Linked DNA regions of Rhinolophus ferrumequinum. The protein of the gene in region 2 interacts with the protein of the main gene of each other region in a biochemical or structural test. Links are inferred from orthologs where the notes say so. Each region holds a gene or a part of one and is shown on either strand. Other genes may lie near its edges. The genes, in order: MBL2 and CALR.

What was found.
Region 1: the proteins of CALR (region 2) and MBL2 form a complex in vitro, tested with the Homo sapiens proteins (2 studies listed by BioGRID and IntAct). The link is inferred for Rhinolophus ferrumequinum from reciprocal best matches to the Homo sapiens genes CALR and MBL2.

What each region holds. Positions count from the first base shown.
Region 1 is NC_046299.1:35,533,935-35,543,242, forward strand, and holds the start of MBL2 (mannose-binding protein C), read right to left. Parts: upstream 3,469-9,308; 5' UTR 3,393-3,468; coding exon 3,381-3,392; intron 2,785-3,380; coding exon 2,592-2,784; intron 2,207-2,591; coding exon 2,090-2,206; intron 523-2,089; coding exon 454-522; intron 1-453. UniProt on the Homo sapiens protein: Calcium-dependent lectin involved in innate immune defense. Binds mannose, fucose and N-acetylglucosamine on different microorganisms and activates the lectin complement pathway.
Region 2 is NC_046301.1:48,679,324-48,688,719, forward strand, and holds CALR (calreticulin), read right to left. Parts: upstream 3,962-9,396; 5' UTR 3,878-3,961; coding exon 3,787-3,877; intron 3,426-3,786; coding exon 3,324-3,425; intron 3,137-3,323; coding exon 2,933-3,136; intron 2,474-2,932; coding exon 2,379-2,473; intron 2,291-2,378; coding exon 2,081-2,290; intron 1,999-2,080; coding exon 1,885-1,998; intron 1,799-1,884; coding exon 1,655-1,798; intron 1,055-1,654; coding exon 962-1,054; intron 878-961; coding exon 674-877; 3' UTR 109-673; downstream 1-108. Other genes in the region: FARSA (phenylalanine--tRNA ligase alpha subunit), read left to right, coding at 6,969-7,115, 8,663-8,800, 8,889-8,987, 9,056-9,174. UniProt on the Homo sapiens protein: Calcium-binding chaperone that promotes folding, oligomeric assembly and quality control in the endoplasmic reticulum (ER) via the calreticulin/calnexin cycle.

The DNA.
Region 1 (9,308 bases), on a different chromosome or scaffold from region 2:
TAGAATTCTGAAGACATATAATCTGTAATTCTGAATTTCACCCTAATATTAACTTGAGAATAAACAAATATATCTGAGAATATTGCCCCAGGCCGGGAGGGCGAAGGAGGAACAGGTTAGGCCCATTGTCGGGTCTCAACACCAGCGTAATAATGGGAAAGGAAAGTAGGTCCCGTTGTCATTGACACATGTGCACACTGATAGGAAAAACTGTAGGATTCGGGTCTCTGGAGTCAGATTGATTCCCATTTGTAAACTACCTCTACCACTCAGCTCTGTGCGTTTGAGCAAGTTATGTAATTTCTTTTTGCCTCTATTTCTACCCAAAGGTTGTGAGGAATATAAGAAACAACTATCCAGGTGCTAGGAAATTATGTGTATTTCATAAATATTTGTTGCTGTCCACCTTCCCAAACTTTAAGCTGCCTGAAAAGTAAGAGAGAGAAGGCTTACAGTTTTTCATACGGTCCAATTCTGATCGCAGAGCTTTTCTTTCTGAAGCAGCCAGGCCATTATCACAATCTAGGAAATTAAAACAAAGTGAAAGAGCATTGTTGAGAAAGGGTTTCAGAACTACAAGCAGGTAGGGTATCTTTATCAAAAAATATATATATATATATATATTTTTTTGTTTCTTTTACATTGATATTTGCTCTTTGAAAAAATTAAATATATATGTATATAGCTGTATATGTATATATAGCTATATATATGTATATATATACACACATACATATATATACATATATATGTATATATGTATGTGTGTGTGTGTGTGTATATATATATATATATATACACACACACACAGAGAGAGAGAGAGAGAGGAAAGAGAGAGAGAATAAGGAAAAGTATCTCTATTCTCATCCATCCCAAAACATCACTCTTCGTCTGTTGAGTATATCCATAGACACGTAAAGCATACATACACACTCACATGCAAATGCACATACATGCACTCCCTGATGACTTTGTATGATAGCACTCCATACACCAAGCTATTCACTAATTCTTGTTTTTCCCAAATAAACAGCTCTATCATAGATTAGGGGAAAAAAAAAAACAAAAAAACAAACCTCTTGGGAAATTATTATGTGATGGTGAATATCAACTAAAAGATTACAGGGTTTTTGTATTTAGGGAGGTTTTGTTTTTGTTGCTTTTTTGTTTTGTTTTTGTTTTTCCAGGGTTTGTTCTATTAATCAGCAAACCAAGATTTTTGTGAATTGCCCATTATTTAAGTCTGTGTGTAGGGGAGAGGGAGGGCAGCAAGCCATGTGTGATAGATAGCAAAAATGGCTTCAGTGTGGTGTATCTTTTTCATTAAGAAGTGGAGCCTATTTTCCCACTCCTTGAATCTGGGATGGCCTTGTGACTTGTTTTGACCATTAGAATGTGACAGAGGCAATAATGTACATGTCCTAAGCCTTCAGAAGGTCTTAAAGCTTCTATTCTTTCCACTCCTCGGAATCTTGTAATCACCTCTATGGGAACAAGCCCAGGCTAGCTTGTTGGAGGATGAGGGACCTGTGGCTCACTCCGCCTGATAACTAAACAACAGCAAGACTTGTAAGTGTGACCATTGGTCATCAGTTGACCACAGACACGAGTGAATCCAGCAGAGACCAACAGAAAAATCACTCAGTGGATCCACAGAATTGCTTCTGTGGCTGTGTTTTTGTTTTGTTTTTTGTATGTTTGTTCCTCATGAAGTAAAAGATAACTGACATACCATGTATATACTGCTGTTGTGAAAATAGACATGACAAGCCTTACACATAAATGGCCTATTTTCTCCCTTTTGGACCAGAGCCTCACATTGTTTCAGCTAAAGGGAGTCAGGGCCCAGCGCCTCTCGGGATGCCTGGTGAAGGGGTGGCCCTGAAGAGTCTATAAGTCTGTACTTAGCACAGGTAGGAATCCCCTGAGGCTCTAAGTAATCTAAAGAGAGCTGAGGGTGCTGGGTCAGAAAGCAGAATTGAGCATCTTCCATCAAAGCAGCAGGAGAAGGGGCATCTCTCATCAGGTACTCAAAGTCCCAGGATTTAGGGTGTCCTTAACCTAGATCTTGCTGAGGTAAGCTCCTTACCTGGACATTTTCCGGGGTCTCCTTTTTGGCCTACTGTTCCTGGTAACCCAGGAGGCCCTGGGATTCCTTGAGGCCCCAACTTTCCAGGAGGGCCCTGTAAGCCTCTGAGTCCTTGGCCTGTTGGAAGACGGAGGGAACATAAATCGATATCTGTGTTGTTGCTCTATTTCTCCAAGAGTTTGACGTCTAATCCCTTCCCAGGAGAAAGGAGACACTAATCCAGGACCAATTTTTCTAAACTACTACTAATGACCCAGAGAAGAAAATCCTCCTATGTCCCATGGGATGGCCAACTCCCTAAGCAAGTAGGAAAACCGTGTGTCACCAACTCCTGTGTGGAAGTCTGGGATGCTAGAGAGTCAGAGCTATAATTGTATTGTGAATTATAATATGTAGTTGAGAGAAATGCAACCTGAATACGTAGGGCAGTATTCTCCTTATATGCCCAGGCAGTTTTGTCTGGAAGGTAAAGAGTCACAGAGCTAGAACAGCCCAGTTGTACCTGGTTCTCCCTTTTCTCCCTTGGCACCATCACGCCCATCTTTTCCTGGGAAGCCGTTGATGCCTGGAGAACCACAGGTGATCACAGGGCATGTCTTTTGGACGTTATCACAGGATTCTGTTTCTGAACAAGATGCTGTCGCCATACTCAGGAGAAGGAGAGAAAGCGATGGAAACAGGGACATGGTCCTCACCTTGGTGTGCAGAAAGTCAAGGAAGATTCTCTCATCTTGTTCAGCTAATCAACACATATTTACCAAATATTTCCTCTGTCCTGTTACCTGTTCTGAGTGGAGGTGATGTAGAGATGGATAAACCATTCCTGCTCCCTTACTGGGGATTTGGAAAAGTAAATAATCTGACATTGTGTGATTAACAAATGTAGGCCCAACGACATGCAATGGGGACTCTAAGGAGGGGTCATGTGTGCCCATGCCCCTGGTATCACCACTAGAATTCATGAGTAGGCTTTCCATGTCATTTGTGAGAGCAAATGGGCCTACACATTGCCAGCACATTCATGCCTGTTAGCTTAGAGGGTAGAAGTGAATGGAGACCAGGAACCTGTCGGAGCTCATCCTTTCCCCATCTCTGCACTTTGGGCTCATCTGTCACCCACATCCCATCCTCCTATCTGGGCAAAGTTAATCAACATTGACTCAGTGGCAGGCACCAAGCTGCCGACTGATGATCCAGACAGGAAGAGTCACTATTCGTCACTAGCCCAGCCCAGAATTAACCTGAGTTTGCTTCGTCTTGAGGTTTTAGTTCCCATGCAAGCGAGACTTACCAGGGGTAGCATTTTCTCTAGAAACCTCTCACTACCTTGGCCCTAGCAGGGTGCCAGATCTCTCTCCAGTTCCTGGAAGGACTTTTCTTGTGTTCTGTGAGTCAAAAACATTGGCAATTAGACCACCTTCCTTGACTGCCCTTCCCATTTCTCAATGTTAGCATTTCATCTGTCCTTCAAAGCTCTCTTTCAAAGCCGTCCTTCCTCAGGAAACCTCAGTAGCCCAGCTTTGTGGGTCTAATCCTTCATGGCTCTCTTTGAAAATAAAGGCAGTCTCATTTCCAAATGGTCAGGTAAATCCAGGAAAGTCACAGGTGCCCCGACGTAAGCAGAGAAAGAAGCACACCCTGCATGGCTTCTGCCTGTCATCTCCCCACCTCCACCCCACCAGAAAGTGCCCCTCTAGGCCTCCAAGTTCAAGTCAAGCCCCTAGACAAATCCATACCCTGGAAAGGACTTACTAGGGCTTCTGCAAAGCAAGGAGGCAGAGACAAGGAAGCTGGCCCTCCAGCCAGGGGCTCTGGCAGTTGCCTCAGGGTGAGGAAGGAGGCTGGACTTGGCAATGGCAGGGCCCAATCACCTTGTACACTGGCAGAGTAGGCCTGGCCTTCAACCCCAGATTAATAAACAACTTTTCTTAGGGCTGCACCAAACTCTCCTTAGCATTTCCCAGAGGTTCTGACATTTTGTTCAACAGCTATTTGCTTTAATACTGCACCAATCTTCCTGCAAATTGCCATCCGTTCTGGCAGTTCTCGTTGCTGAGACGCTGTAAGTAGGCTCACGTGATACGTCCTTGTTTCTAATAGAGAAACCTAACAATACCCAGGAATGTACCCACATGTTTGTGCACACCAATTATACACACAAACATGTGCATGTGCACACACACACACACACACACATCTGTGAAAGCACAGCAGAACCTTGCTGCCTTGAACACACCAAGACCACCCCTGCCTCAGGCTCTCCACTTGACATTCTCCTAGCCTGCACATGCCCGCCACTGTGTCACTGGCTGGCTCTTTCTTCTATCCCAATACCCCTGTCTCAGAGAAACCTGTCTCAATCAGTCCCACCGAGCGACTCTCTATCGTCTTAGCTTGCTTTATTTTCTTTCATATTACATACATTTCATGGTATTATATTCTAGCTATTTACCTTTTTAATTTTGTTGTTGTGTTAAAATATGCATAGCATAATTTTTATCATTTTGACTATTAAGTGTACAATTCATCAGCATTAACTACATTCACTTTGTTGTGTAACCATGACCACTATTCATTTGCAGAACTTTTTCATCTTCCCTAAATGAAACTCTGTACCCATTAAACACCAATGTCCAGCCCCCCCCACCCCCGTCCTCTGGGTACAACTGTTCTACGTTTTGTCTCTATGAATTTGACTACTCTAGGTACTTATGTTAGTGGAATCATACTACATTTCTGTTTCTGTGACAGGCTTATTTCATTTATAATCATGTCTTCAGGGTGCATCCATGTTGTAGCATATATCAGGATTTCCTTCCTTTTTAAAGCCGAGTAATAATTTTATTATACGCAAACATCACATTTTGGAAGCTTCATTTTTAATAGCCAAAAAATCTGGAACTAATCCAATTATCCTTCAACAAGTGAATGGCTAAATAAACTGTGGAAAAATCACAGGAAAAAAAAAAAGAATGCTGGTAAATAATGTTTAAATCCAAATAAGATTAGTATCTTGTTATATTGCTCTGATGCCAATTTCCTGGTTTTGGTACTTGTACTATGGTATGTTAGAACCTATCATTGGTGAATGATGGATGAAGAGTACATGATACCTTTCTTGATTATTTATTCAACTTATATGTGAGACTAAAATTATTTCAAAAAAAACGTTTTCCAAAGGGAGTCTCAAGGAAGTTGTGGATGTTCCAAATATTATTCCTGCTTCCTTCCAAGTTTCACATTGTGACTAGTCTGTGCAATGGCTTGAAAGTGAGAGAGAGTAGGCCAGGTTCCCAAAGATAATACGATTAATTCTGACTGGGCTTACAGTGTGAGATCCAAGTGGTGAGAGATGAGGCATGAGCAAGTTAACAACAGAATTGTAACTTTTATAAGACTTTGGGCCTCTTCCAAAGGGTCATTAGAGAAATTTCAACAGAAGAGAGAACATCAGCTTTGAAATTTTCAAAGCTTGTTCTGACTACAGTGTGGAGAAGGATTGGAAGGGAGAAGGTATGGGAAAAATCAGACCTGCAAGGAGGTCCTATCATCTAAGCAGCAGATAATGGTGGCCAGAATTAGGATAATGGCAGCTGGATCAAGAAAGTGGACACGTTTGAGAACATCTGCAAGGTATATTTGATGGAACTTGGGAATTGGTTGGATGTGCAATGATGAACAAAAAGAAGGAATTTTTATGGATACACAGGTTTCTGACTTGAATAGCTGAATGCCGTTCAACTGAAATGGAAATAAAGACAAAATAACAATTGCAAGGAGGGGGAGATAATGGGTATCTTGTGGGTAAATGGCTGGAGCCATGTGATGGTGGTCAAGAGGAACAATCTAGAAGGAATGGCACAATACCTTTATGAAGCACAACGGAGTTGATTTTGAACATCATTTTTAATAGACGTGTCATAAAATGTCATGTGAGCTTGGAGTGGTGAGAGAGCCCATCTTGGAAGCCTCACATAGATGTTACAGAGCCATGCTCTAGAGGCCTCCAAACACCAGAAGGAATGTGGGTGAGATTCTCTTCCAGGTCCCTTCCAATTGGACTGTCCTTGGCTTGTGGAGGTCATGGTTTCCCTACATTCTGCTGACTCGTCCCTTCTGCCTGATAAATGTCCAGGGTGGCAGAGAACCACATGCCTAAATCAAATGACAGAGACTAGGAGATTCAGGGCCTATCAAGGCTTCAGGCAACTTGTTCATCTCTCTTCCCGACTCTTTAGCAGCCAAACATTCCTATGGCTCCTGTTCCAAAGTGGCAGGAGGTGAAATGAAGCAGCTGAATCCAGGTCACGTTGGAGGTGTTGGCTTTGATCACCGTGCTTGCTATTATATTATTGGACACTTCGTCCAGACGTCAGGAAGCTGCCCTCCAGGCCCTGACATTTCCTGGAACTGGGCTGGGAAAGGTCGGACATGTAGGTTCGAAGTCAGTCCAACAGCTGAGCCACTGCGCTGAGTGCTGCCCGGCTACGAGCCCCTTCTGCTCTCCACAGTCACCAGCTGGCCTTCTCATCATGAGATACGCGGGAGATGCACCCTGCCTTTGAGAGGCCACTGTGTGCATTTTTTGTGGACCTTGGGCCCGTCCCAGAACTGCCTCCACTCTGGTACCTCCACCAGACATCTACCTTACCTCAAAAGGCTGCAGAGACACTTCCTCTCTGACCTGCCCCACAAAACTCCCTTTCTTCTAGCCAGGGATGGAATCCCAGCTCTGTCACTTCCCAGGTGTGAACTTAGCCAAGTCCCATCTCCTTCGGTTCCTCCATCCCTCATCTGTGAACCAGGATTCCCCTGCCTTTTCTGTGCCATGGAATGTCCTTTTCGGGCCCACGCTCAGCGTGCATGGCATGTAGCCCAGCATGCCAGGGACTTCATTGCCTCCAGGATGACTGCACAAGAGTCTGCTTATCTTAGGAAACAGGTGGGAGGCAAGCAGAGCTGGTGGCTGCTCCATTGGGCAATGGGAGTGGGTGGGGGTGTGGCAGGCCTGGAGCCTACTGTCCCTACTGGGAGGGCTGCTGCTTCCAGAAGATTGTGGGAGACACTTTTAGGGGAGAAGGACCACAGAGAGAATCAGGGCAGAGGTGCAGGAAGGAAGCCTTCTTCTGGGTTTTCCTGGTGACAGGGCTGCGGGACAGGGCTGCAGGACAGGCTGTGGTCGGACCATGCTAAGGTGGCACACTCGCCACCTCGCCCAGCAACCCAGCCTCCGGACTGTGGCTGGGGCAGGGCTCTCAGGGCTGTTCTCATACACACAAGGCGGACCCAACCACTGAGATGCATCCACAAACTGCAGGAGCCCCTTTTTCTTGCAGCAGCTCTCTAGTGCCCTCCAATGTGAAAGCTTATCATGCTCACTTTAAAGACATGCTTACCGGAATTCTGTGTTTTAATACAAAGCATGTGTTGCAGAGTAAATTTGTAGCCATGCGTCCTTCGATAGCTGTCATAGTAGGTTTGTCCTTGTACAGGGTGAGTGCACAAATGCCCTGTGTGTGCCCTCTGTGGGCATATGTAGCATCAGTGATTACTCCAGCCAAGCTCATGGGAGAGGCTGAGAGTCTAGGAGGGCAGAGGGCTGGAACTGGCCGGTTCTAGGCTCTGAGATTGCCTCTGGGCTTCCGTCTGACCAGGCACAAGAGACCCACCAGCTCTAAGACATCCACTGTTACAGACTGAATTTTGTCATTCCTCCCGCCTCCCCCTCCCCCAATTCATATGTTGAAGCCTTAATCCCTAATGTGACTATATTTAGAGGTAGGACCTGTAAGTAACTAATTACAAATAAATGAGGTCATAAGAATAAGGCCCTAATCTGATAGAACTGGTGTCCTTATAAGAAGAGAAAGAGACACCAGGGACTTTTCCTTGTGCATACACACAAAGAGAAAAGACCATGAGAGGACAAAGTGAGAAGGTACAGGGCTGTCTCAGTAGAAATTACCCCTGTTGGCACATTGATCTTGGACTTCCAGCATTCAGAACTGTGAGAAAGTAAATGTTGTTTAAGCCACCCATTCTGGGTATCTTGTGAAGGCAGCCTGAGCTAATACAGACTTAGGTCCGGGGGAACCTAACCAATCCCAAACCGCTCCTATAGACTAGGAAGTTAGGGATACAGGGAAAACTGTCCTGGACAGGAAGGAAGGGGCACTGGAGGCAGTGGGATGGGAAGGGGGAGGGAGTTAAGGAAGATGCTCTGACAGGAAGGCCAGGGGGAGGCTAGTTCCAGCCACTGCTGGCCAAGCTAGATGTCAGCTGCTCCTCTTCCACATTTCCTTGGGTGCCCAGCTACCAGCCCCCCGACCCCCAAGGCAGAAGGAAGGGTAAGGACAGGGAACATACACAGATCTGATTCCATTCCATCCTGACCTGAGATTTGTGACTGAGGCTGACTCTCCCCTTACGAGTCTCCGTCCTCCAGCTGTTAAAGGGTTTTAAAGAAAGCCCTTCAGAACCATAAATATGTTGGAGGGATGGCTAGAATGTAGTATGAATATGGAATCCCTTGCCCTTAAGAAAAATATTCCCCTGACAGAGAACGAGGACCAAGAATGAGGGTTTCCTGTGACAGGTAAGGGAATAGACACTTAGGAGACCCAGAGTAACCAAGCTTGACTGACCCAGGAACAACCTGGACCCCTGTTGACTCCCGTTTAAAGAGAGGTGGAGTGGTGAGGAGGGAGAGTCTGTCCTTTCAGGTTGCTCTGCATGGCTTCCGAGGAGCTATGGTGAGTGACAGGGGAACCCTACCCATGGAGTGAGGGTCATCTCCTAAACAAGGTCCCACAGGGAACCTACAGGTCAGCTCTGCCATCTAGTGGCCAAACTCAGAATCGCAGCAAGCCCACGTCGGTACTGAAGACACCACACGTCCCCGTCCGTGTTCACTCATTTACTTCCTAGAAGCTGCTGTGTTATCAGGTGGGATAGAACGTGGGAGATAAAGGAGAACATAAGTGCCCTTGTGAGCTCACAGTCTAATGGGAAAAGCTGACACAAATTTATATTAAGGCAATTTCTGCTACGACTTCACAGAGTATACTTAACACTTACCTAAAGCTTTTAATAAAGACAAAGGATACCGTGCAGGAGGAGCAAGAGAGTGCAGGGAAATAGCGGGTCTCTCAGATCCTCCTGGGCACAGCTGTGCTAAAAGTCTTTTTTCACTGGAGAGTAGGCCTTTGTTACAGAGAAC
Region 2 (9,396 bases):
AAAAATAAGCCTTACTCAAATGTCAACCCCTAAAAAAAGGGCCACTTTTGGTTCCCTAATGTCCATCCTCCCCCAGAAGGAGACACAGGAAGAAGACACAAAACTTAATTTAATAGAAATTTTGTTTGTAGTTCTTACATTCTGTATGAGCTGAGTTGGAACCCACTGCCCCACCCAGAAGTGGCCCAGTTCTGGAGGCAGGGAGAAAGGGAGGAAGTGGGGGTGAGGGGTCGGAGCTCGGGCCCTAGGAGCCCCATTCTTCCTCAGTGCTGGGGGTCTGGGACACCACGCCCTTTTCCTGTCCCACTCTGGGATTCAGGAAGGTGAATAGTCGGAATCTTGGGCCTGGAGCTTCTCCTCCCCACCTCCTCATGCCCCCAGGTTGGAGGGGAACTAAGGGACATGGGGAGAGAAGAGACAGAGGACGGCGAAGGGTCAAGAAAGATGAGGGCCAGAGGTGAGGGCTGAGGGAGAATCATAGACAAAAACACCAGTTCAAAAAACAAATAACAAAAAAAAAAGGGAGAACAAAACCAAAATCCACCCCAAATCCGAACCCGCCTGGAAAAAAAAGGAAAGTTCTCCAGTCTCATAGAGACATTATTTGGCGCGGCCGGCTGTGCGGCAGGAGCGCTCAGGCCTCAGTTCAGCCCCGGAAATGGCGGTGCGGCCCCTACAGCTCATCCTTGGATGGGCCGGCGGCGGCCTCGTCCTCCTCCTCGTCTTCCTCCTTATCATCCTCGTCCTCGTCCTCGTCTTCCTTGTCATCCTCGTCGTCCTTGTCCGCCTCCTCCTCCTCCTTGCGCTTCCTGTCCTCCTCCTCCTCCTTCAGCCTCTGCTCCTCGTCCTGCTTGTCTTTCATTTGCTTTTCTGCCGCCTGCACAGACCATACACTCAGAACCTGGCCCCCACCTGCCAGCCCTGCCTGCCCCCCCAGCCAAGAACTGGACCCAGGCCCCACCTTTGTGACACCCCACGTCTCATTGCCGAACTCTTCCGCATACGCCTCGTCGTTGGTGATGAGGAAGTTGTCAAAGATGGTGCCAGACTTCACCTGGGAAGGGGAGGATGGATAAAGGGGTGGCCAGAGGGAACACACCACGCTCCTGCCCTTCAGTTCCATAACCACTCCACAATGCCGCAGCCTAACTTCACACTTAAAATACAGGCTGACTGAGTGCAAACCCCAGCTCTGCTATTTCCCACCTACGTGACGTTGGGCTGGTGACTTTTCTATACCTCAGTTTCTTTATCTGTATAATGGGATCTCTTCCTCTTGTTCAAGTATTTTTCTAGCACCTACTATTGGCAGGTACTGTTCTTAGCACAGAAGGTATATTAGTGAATGAAACAAACAAAAATTTGGTCCCCGTACAGCTCATTTTATAAGGGACTATCTACCTTCTAGGTTGTTGGGGGCAGTTAATGAGTTGGTTCACATAAAGGTTCTTGGGGGAGTGCCTAGCATAGCATGTAGAACCTCAAACGAGGTGCTGTGAGAACGCCATAGAAACAGACCAAGAAATTCTTCAAAACAGGACAATTTTGGGGTCAGACCTACCTAGGGTTGGATCCTATCCCTGTCCCTTTCCTTCTGGGTGACCTTGAGCACTTGAGGTCCCCTAGGGATCCTCCTGTTCCCTCCATGTCTCACCTGCCAGAGGTCTAGGCCCAGCACAGCAAAGTTTTCATAGGCATAGATATTGCTATCCGGAGAATACTCAGGGTTGTCGATCTCTGGGTGGATCCAAGTGCCCTTGTAATCTGGGTTGTCAATCTGTCGGGGCTTCCACTCACCCTGCAGAAGAAGGGAACTGGAGGTGAGAAGAGGTCAGCATGCTCCCCACTGTGTACCCCCATCCTGCTCGGGAGCCCCAGGCCCACCTTGTATTCTGGGTTCTGAATCACTGGTGGTTCCCACTCTCCATCCATCTCTTCATCCCAGTCCTCAGGCTTCTTAGCATCAGGGTCAGGGATGTGCTCAGGCTTGTCCCAATCCTGAGGGCACACGAGGAGATCAGAGTCAGCCCAGCTCTCCGCCACCTCCTCCATGGTGGGGACTCCCTGCCCAAGCACCAACCTCAGGTTTGGAGTCTGTGGGGTCATCAATCTTGGCCCGCTCATCCCAGTCTTCAGGCTTGGAAGCATCAGGATCCTTTATCTTCTTAGGTGGCAAGAAGTCCCAATCGTCTTCCAGGGAGCCCGACTCCACCTGGCTGTTGTCAATCTTCACCTCATAGGTATTATCCGGCCGAACGATCAGTGTGTACAGGTGTGTGAATTCATCATCCTGAAGAGGGCGGGAAGTAAGTGGCCCCACCCACCAGGCTGGCCTCTGAGCCTCCCCAGGCAGCCATTTGTCACCACCCCAGGCACACCTTGCAACGGATATCCTTATTGATTAGCACATTCTTGCCCTTGTAGTTGAAGATGACATGAACCTTCTTGGTGCCCGGGCCACAGATGTCAGGGCCTAGGTGAGAAGCAGGTCCAGTTAAGGGCCAAACCCTGCCCACCATAGCCAGCCCCCGCCCCCTACCCCGCCATTCTTCACAAAAGGAAAACCTCTTAAACTTAGGTCTGTAAAGACTCAAGAGACAGGACTCAGACACTGACTGTCTCTAAGGGACAGTCTCTAAGGTGTCTCTAAGGTGGAGCCTTGGAAAAAAAAAAAATTCATGCTCTAGAATACAGTACCCTCACTTGTAAAATTGGAAAATGCCTATGTAAGATCACACATATTAACAGACTTAGACCAATAATAACAATGCAATAAATTGCTGCTGTGATTATCCCCTCACCTTACCCTTCAAAGAAAAGCCTATGTGTTTCCTGTGCTTTCAAGACCACCTGTCATGGGATACAAGGAACCTATGGGATCTCAGTCTCCCTCTAACTAATCAGAGGTCAGCACCAGGGTGGGGCCCCTCACCAAACATAATGTTGTATTCAGAGTCTCCGTGCATGTCTGTCTGTTCCAAACTATCTGGAAATAGCTTCACATAGCCGCCCCCACAGTCGATGTTCTGCTCGTGTTTCACGGTGAACTGCACCACCAATGTCTGGTCCTTGTTGCTGAAGGGCTCAAATCTGGTCGACAGGGCGTAAAAGCGGGCATCCTGGCTCGTCTGCAGCCCTAGCAGGGGATGGTAGTGAGGTCACAGCTGGCCCCAACCCCCAGGGAACCCTAAGAATCAAAGATACAGACGACTCTCCCCACTTCCTCCGCCTGCCCTGCTCCTGGAGATGCCCAGGCTGTGCAGTGCCTAGTACTTCCTCCAGGAAGTCCTCCTGGATCTGATGACCTATACCCATGCTCTTACCTTTATCTTTGTCCAGATCACCGTAGAACTTGCCGGCACTGAGGACGAATTTGCCAAAATCCGTTTTGTGTTTGGATTCAATCCAGCGGTTGGTCCACCCGTCTACGGGATCAGAGGGGCAGGTCAGCGCGGCTTTGCTGATTCCGCCCAACACCACCACCAAATATCTGCCAGGAGCCACTAACTGCTGCAGGCAAAGACATCTCCCTCCCTCTTGAGTGCCCCCATCCCAACCACTAGTTTGACACCTCCAGTGGCTTAAAAGATTCTCAGGCGAACCCTAACTCCCGACGCGGGAGGCCACTGCGCCCTCCATGTTCCCCAGGGACGCGGAAAGAAGGATAGGCTGCGGCTCTTGTCCCCGGGGACCACCGTGTTGGTCCTCAGAGCAATAATTACAGGCCACAACGCAGATCTGGGCTGGGGGGCCGGTCGCATCGTCGGGGCGGCCTCGAGGCGTTACCTCCGTCTAGAAACTGCTCCTTTAAGTAGACGACGGGTTCGGCGGCAGCCAGGCCGAGAAGGCAGAGCAGCAGCGGCACAGGTAGCAGCATGGCGGGCCGAGGGGGCGGCAGAGCGCGGGGCCCTTTAAGTCGTTCGTCGGACAGCACCTCTGCAGCAGGGACGGACGCTAGCTCTGGCCGCGCGCTTTTATAGCCGACCGACCCTTAAACCAACCTGGCCCTGCCTCTTGGCCCGCCCTCCACATCTTTTCATTGGTCAATGGCCACGTTTCTGCTTTCCCATTGGGCCCTCTTCGGCTCAGCATGTTCGGCTGTGCCTCGGAACACTGGGTTCCCAGATGGCCGATTTCTATTGGCCGCACCGCTCGCCAATGAGGGTCGACCACGCGTTGTGGGGGACGCCCACCGGTGGGGTAGGGGCCTCCAACTCCTCAGATCAGGTCATGTGACCACTCTTCGGCCCAACCCCGCCCTCGCGCCCGTGCATTTTTCTGGATTTGGGCATTTAAAGAACCCGCGCGAGCGCAGGTGTCACTGCGCTGGACTAGGACCCTACCCCAACGTCGCCTTCTCTCATCCTCTCCGTGGGGTGTGGTGGGCAGGATTTTACTAGTCTCTCTACCCTGCATTTGGGGAATTCTCACTACGACGCGCTGTTTCTCTCTTAGCCTTGCCCCCCCACACACACACACAGGCTGAGGCAGAGGGCACCAGAGCCCAGGGTCTGGGACCCTGGAGCTTCACTTCACTCCGGCGCAACAGCCGTGCAGTCCAGCGGAGAGAGTGCTAGCTCTCTCTTCTGTGCGGTCCCTAGTGTCTGGTAGCCTGGTGGACTGCTGCTGTGTGAGCTGGGGCAAGTCACTTAGACTCTGAAGTCACAGGAGTTCCTGGGAGGCTAGGAGGAGCGACCCAGGGCAGCTGCTGCTTAGCAGAAATGCTTTCAAAGTTTTTTAAGGATGGCCTGGGACAGACAGAAGAAAACCCAGAAGGCTCAAAGACATGACTATAGGATTTGACTCCTAGGGAGGGATAGGGTTGTTCCTTAGTTGCAGCCTCTCCTTTACCCTCCACCCCCATCCAGAAAATGAAAGGGGTCTCTGCCTTGTGGTCTCCCACAAACGGCCTGGCTTTTGCAATTAAACGGCTAAAGAAGAGAGGACAGGGGGTTCCGTTAAACGGGAGGGAAAATAAGAGACAGATGGTGGGGAAGATAAGGTCCGAGGGAGAGGGGTAGGACCCCTGAGTCTAGAGGCTTCTTCTGAAGCCAGAAACCATGTGACTGACAGTGTGGGACACCAGCTCCCTGCCTCAAGTCTGCAGGAAAGAGGAAGGAGGGCTGGGGTTTTCCCAAACTGAGCAAACAAGCCCTAGACCTGGGAACTTGGGAATGGCCTGCAGAAGGGGGAAAGGGAAGGAATCCTGGCAAAAGACTGAGGAGGTGGTACTTCCACACTAGTGATGAGAACTCAGAAAAGGGAAGCAGGAGGAGTCTTGGAGAAGTTGGGATTCTGACCCTTCCCCCAGGCAGTATCCGGTATGGCCCAACCTGGCCCCCCTTATGAGGAGCCTCCAATCTAGGATGATCACTTCAGGCCTGTCACTGACCCTCCTGCCTTCCCTCCAACCAAGTGTCATGGACACATGGGTTTGGTGCTTCCTGCCTGAGAGTAGACGCTGTGCTTGTTCACTTTACCATCCCCTGGTGTCTCAAGCAGCACCTGGCACACAACAGGCTTACAACCTATTTGATCTATGACAGAAGGAAGGACTCTTGAGGAAATTAAACAAAAATGAGGAAAGTGAAGGAACAAAAGGGATTTTGAGGAATGCATTCTGAAATTTTTTTATCAGGACTTCACTGTAGGGTCGGGATTAGGGGATATTAGTAACCTCATTTTCTAGGCTCAAATAACAATTGTAATGGTTAAATGAGTAAATGCATACTGCTTAGAATAGTGCCTGACACACAATCCACATGCAATTTAGTATTAAATACTGCGTACACGCATGGGCATTATTTCACTTAATTCTCACAATAACCTGGGCTCATATTATCTACATGCAGATGAGGAAACTGAAGCATGGGAAGATTAAGAGATTTGGCTGAGTGACATAAATGGCAGATCTGGGATTAGAATGTACTTCTGCTATCTAATATAGTCTCCACTGGCCACATGTTACTATTGCCCATTTGAATTTCAAGACTTAATATGAAAAAGAAGGGTAAAATATTTCATTAGTAATTTTATATCAAGTGTTTAACTGATAAATGGATGTATCAGAATTGGTAAGTTCTTCAAATTAATTTCACCCATTTTGTTTTTAATGTTGCTGCTAGAAAATTTTAAATTACATTAATGTCTCACATTATACGAGTATATCTGTATGCCAGCGTTGATTTAGACCATGCGTTATTGCCCTGACATTGATCTCAAAGCATGGGTAGGAGGTTGGGTGGGATCTGGGGTGTTTATAATTTCTGACTCCATCTCCACCAGCTTCTTGTACAACCATAGGCAAATCATATCACCTTCTGAGCCTTAGTTTCCACATTTGTTACATGGGGATTATACCAGTATCTACATCATAAAGTTTTGGGGAAAATGAAATAACACACGTGCACTACTTAACACTGGACGGGGCACACGGGTTAATGTTCATACAGGTTAGGTACTACCTGGACTGCAACTATTATGAGGAGAGTCCCTTTCCTATCTATAAATACGGATGGTCCCTATCCAACCTCCCTTTGAAAATTTAAAAGTAGCTGATACCAGTAGAATAACTTATCTCTGGAGCCCACCACCCACCGCCCTTCCATAGGGTAAGAGAGAATTCCAGAAGGGTTGGGGGCTCCAAAGCCCAGAGAGGGTTGAGAAGTCCAAGGTCATACAGCCCGCTGCAGCTGGGGCTGGATGAAAGTTAAAAACAACGCTGTAATTCTATCCTTGAGGTCATCAATTTGACTTCTCACGTCAAACAGACACCACTAGTCCAGCCAAGGCAGAAGGACTGAGTCCCTTCCACCCTTTGAGGCCAATTGACACACTCAAGATGGCGAAGCCCTGAGCCCTGAAACACAGACCACCACATTCAAGATGGCGGGATCCGCTTCGGCGCCGGTTCCGGTTCCGGTGGCTCTAGCTCCGGCCGGTACACGCGGAGCGCGCTGGGAGTAGCTATGGCGGATGGTCCGGTGGCGGAGGCATTGCTGCGGCGCCTGGAGGCGGCGGATGGCGGCCTGGACAGCGCGGAACTGGCGGCCGAGCTGGGTGTGGAGCACCAGGCCCTGGTGGGCACCGTAAAGAGCCTGCAGGCGTTGGGCGAGGTGAGCCGAACCCGTGATGCCTGGCTGCTGGCTTTGGCACCTGCAGTTCCCGTGTCAGGAGGGCCCTGACTCCAGGCCATACTGTCTCAGGCCTGCGTAGGGTTAACTGTAAGTGTTCATTTCGGGGTGTGCAGGCGGGAAAGCAGGAACGAGTGAGGGCCCCGGGCGCACAGACGTTCCTTATGCAGGAAACGTCTGTTAAAGGCATGATTAACGTGGTGGTGGTTACCATGGTGGACAAAGAAGACGCGGTCGCCACCCTCACGGAGATTGCGGTCTGATAGGGAAGATACTCAAGTGACCAGAGTGATGGAGGAAGCACAGGGAACCCAGAGGTGACAGCTGACCCAGCCATGGGGGTGAGGGAGAGTGTCCCAGAGGAGATGACAGTTGAGTCGGGTCTCTGTACTGAGGAGGAAAACCATAGCGCTTTAGGGATCCATTGGGAGTTGGGGGTCAGGTGGTGAGAAAGACCGCAGAGCCAGAATTTGCAAGGCCTTGTAGATCCCTCACAGGGATACTGGGGAGCCATGGCAGGAGCTGGAGCTAGTCAGATATGTGTGCTGCTTACATGACTTTTGGAAAGAACTGGCAGGGGGAGGATTGGAGATGAGGGACAAGGGCAGAGGCTGGCACATCCCCAAACTACAGGGCATGGTGTTTGGCTGTAGGGAGGCAGCTAGAATGGAGAGGTGATTCAGGAGAGGGTATGAAATGAGATTCATGGCAAGGCAGGGGGAGCACAGATGAAGCCCCGCCTTCTGACTTGGATAAGTGAAGCATGATGGAGCCACAGGAGGAGGATGCTGACAGGCCTGTGGGCCACCCAAGAGGCCAGATCCAGGAGGCAAAGACTCAGAACACAGATCTGGGCTGTTCATTCATGAAGCTCGTGTTCTGTGTCCCACTCTGTTCTCAGCTTTATTTATGATTCATTCCTTACCATAACCGTAGAACGGTGGCAGTGTTATTATTCCTATTTGGCAGATGTGACCACTCCTGAATACTTGGTCAGTGTCACTAGAAGGGACAGGCAAACTTGGATTTGAAATTAGGCACTCATGGACAGCAACAACAACAAAAGACATTAGGTGTCGGGCTGCAGAGCCCAAGGTTGTCAGTGAGGGAAAGGGATTGAAGCTATGGTGTGTGGGGTGACAGTATCTTGATCTACGTGAAATTGACGTTTGTGTAGGTCACAGAGGGTTAAATAATGGTTCCTTAATGTGGTTCAAATCACATCTTCCCCAAGTTAAAAAAAAATCTTTCCTAGGTTCAAAAGTGATAGAAAGAATGTGTTCTCTGCCAGGTATCATCTTTAGTACTTTAACTCAACTTGGGAGTTAGAACCATATTTATCGTTGTCCCTGTGTCTAGAAGGGAAACTCAACAAGAGGAGCCCACTCGGCTCCGGAAGTGGTGCAGCTGGGATGTAAAGCTAGCTAGTTAGCTTCAGTGGTTGTGCTTTATGTTGGCCCTAGTGCGGCTGCGGCAAGGGTGTGCTGGCTCTGAACCCTGTCCTCTCCTATGCCCCCTTTGCCCTGCAGATCATCGAGGCTGAGCTCCGCTCCACCAAGCGCTGGGAGCTTACGGTCGAGGGCGAGGAGATTGCCCGGGAAGGCAGCCATGAGGCCCGGGTGTTTCATAGCGTCCCCCCGGAGGGCCTGGCCCAAAGCGAGCTCATGGTAGGGGCTGGGGGGCGGACGGGTCCTAGGGAGGTGATGGGGTGAAGGCAGTCCTCATGCCCCGCTCACTGCAGCCTTGTTTTCCCAGCGACTGCCCAGCGGCAAGGTGGGCTTCAGCAAGGCCATGTCCAACAAGTGGATCCGCGTGGACAAGAGCACTGCTGATGGGCCCCGGGTGTTCCGAGTGGTGAGTCCCTGCGGGTAGGTGGGTGAGCCCCTGGTCCTCACGGTCCCTCATGCCCATCATTACAATAGGTGGACAGTGTGGAGGATGAGGTGCAGCGGCGGCTCCAGCTGGTCCGGGGTGGACAGGCCGAGAAGCTGGGTGAGAAGGAAAGGAGTGAGCTCAAGAAGAGGAAACTGCTGACGGAAGTGTGAGTGGCTGCCACTCCCAGGCTCAGACCCATGTCACCTGTGTGGCCGTGGGGTAGGGGGAGGGAAGGGAGAGCCCCTCTCCCCACCTGGGCCTCGGTGCTCTCAGTCGCCTCCCAGCTTCCCTTCACACTGTGGTTGTCAAGCACACAGGCCAGACTCGTGCCACCTCAGGGCTTTGGCACATGTTGTGCCTTCTGCCAAGAATGATCTTTCTACTGATC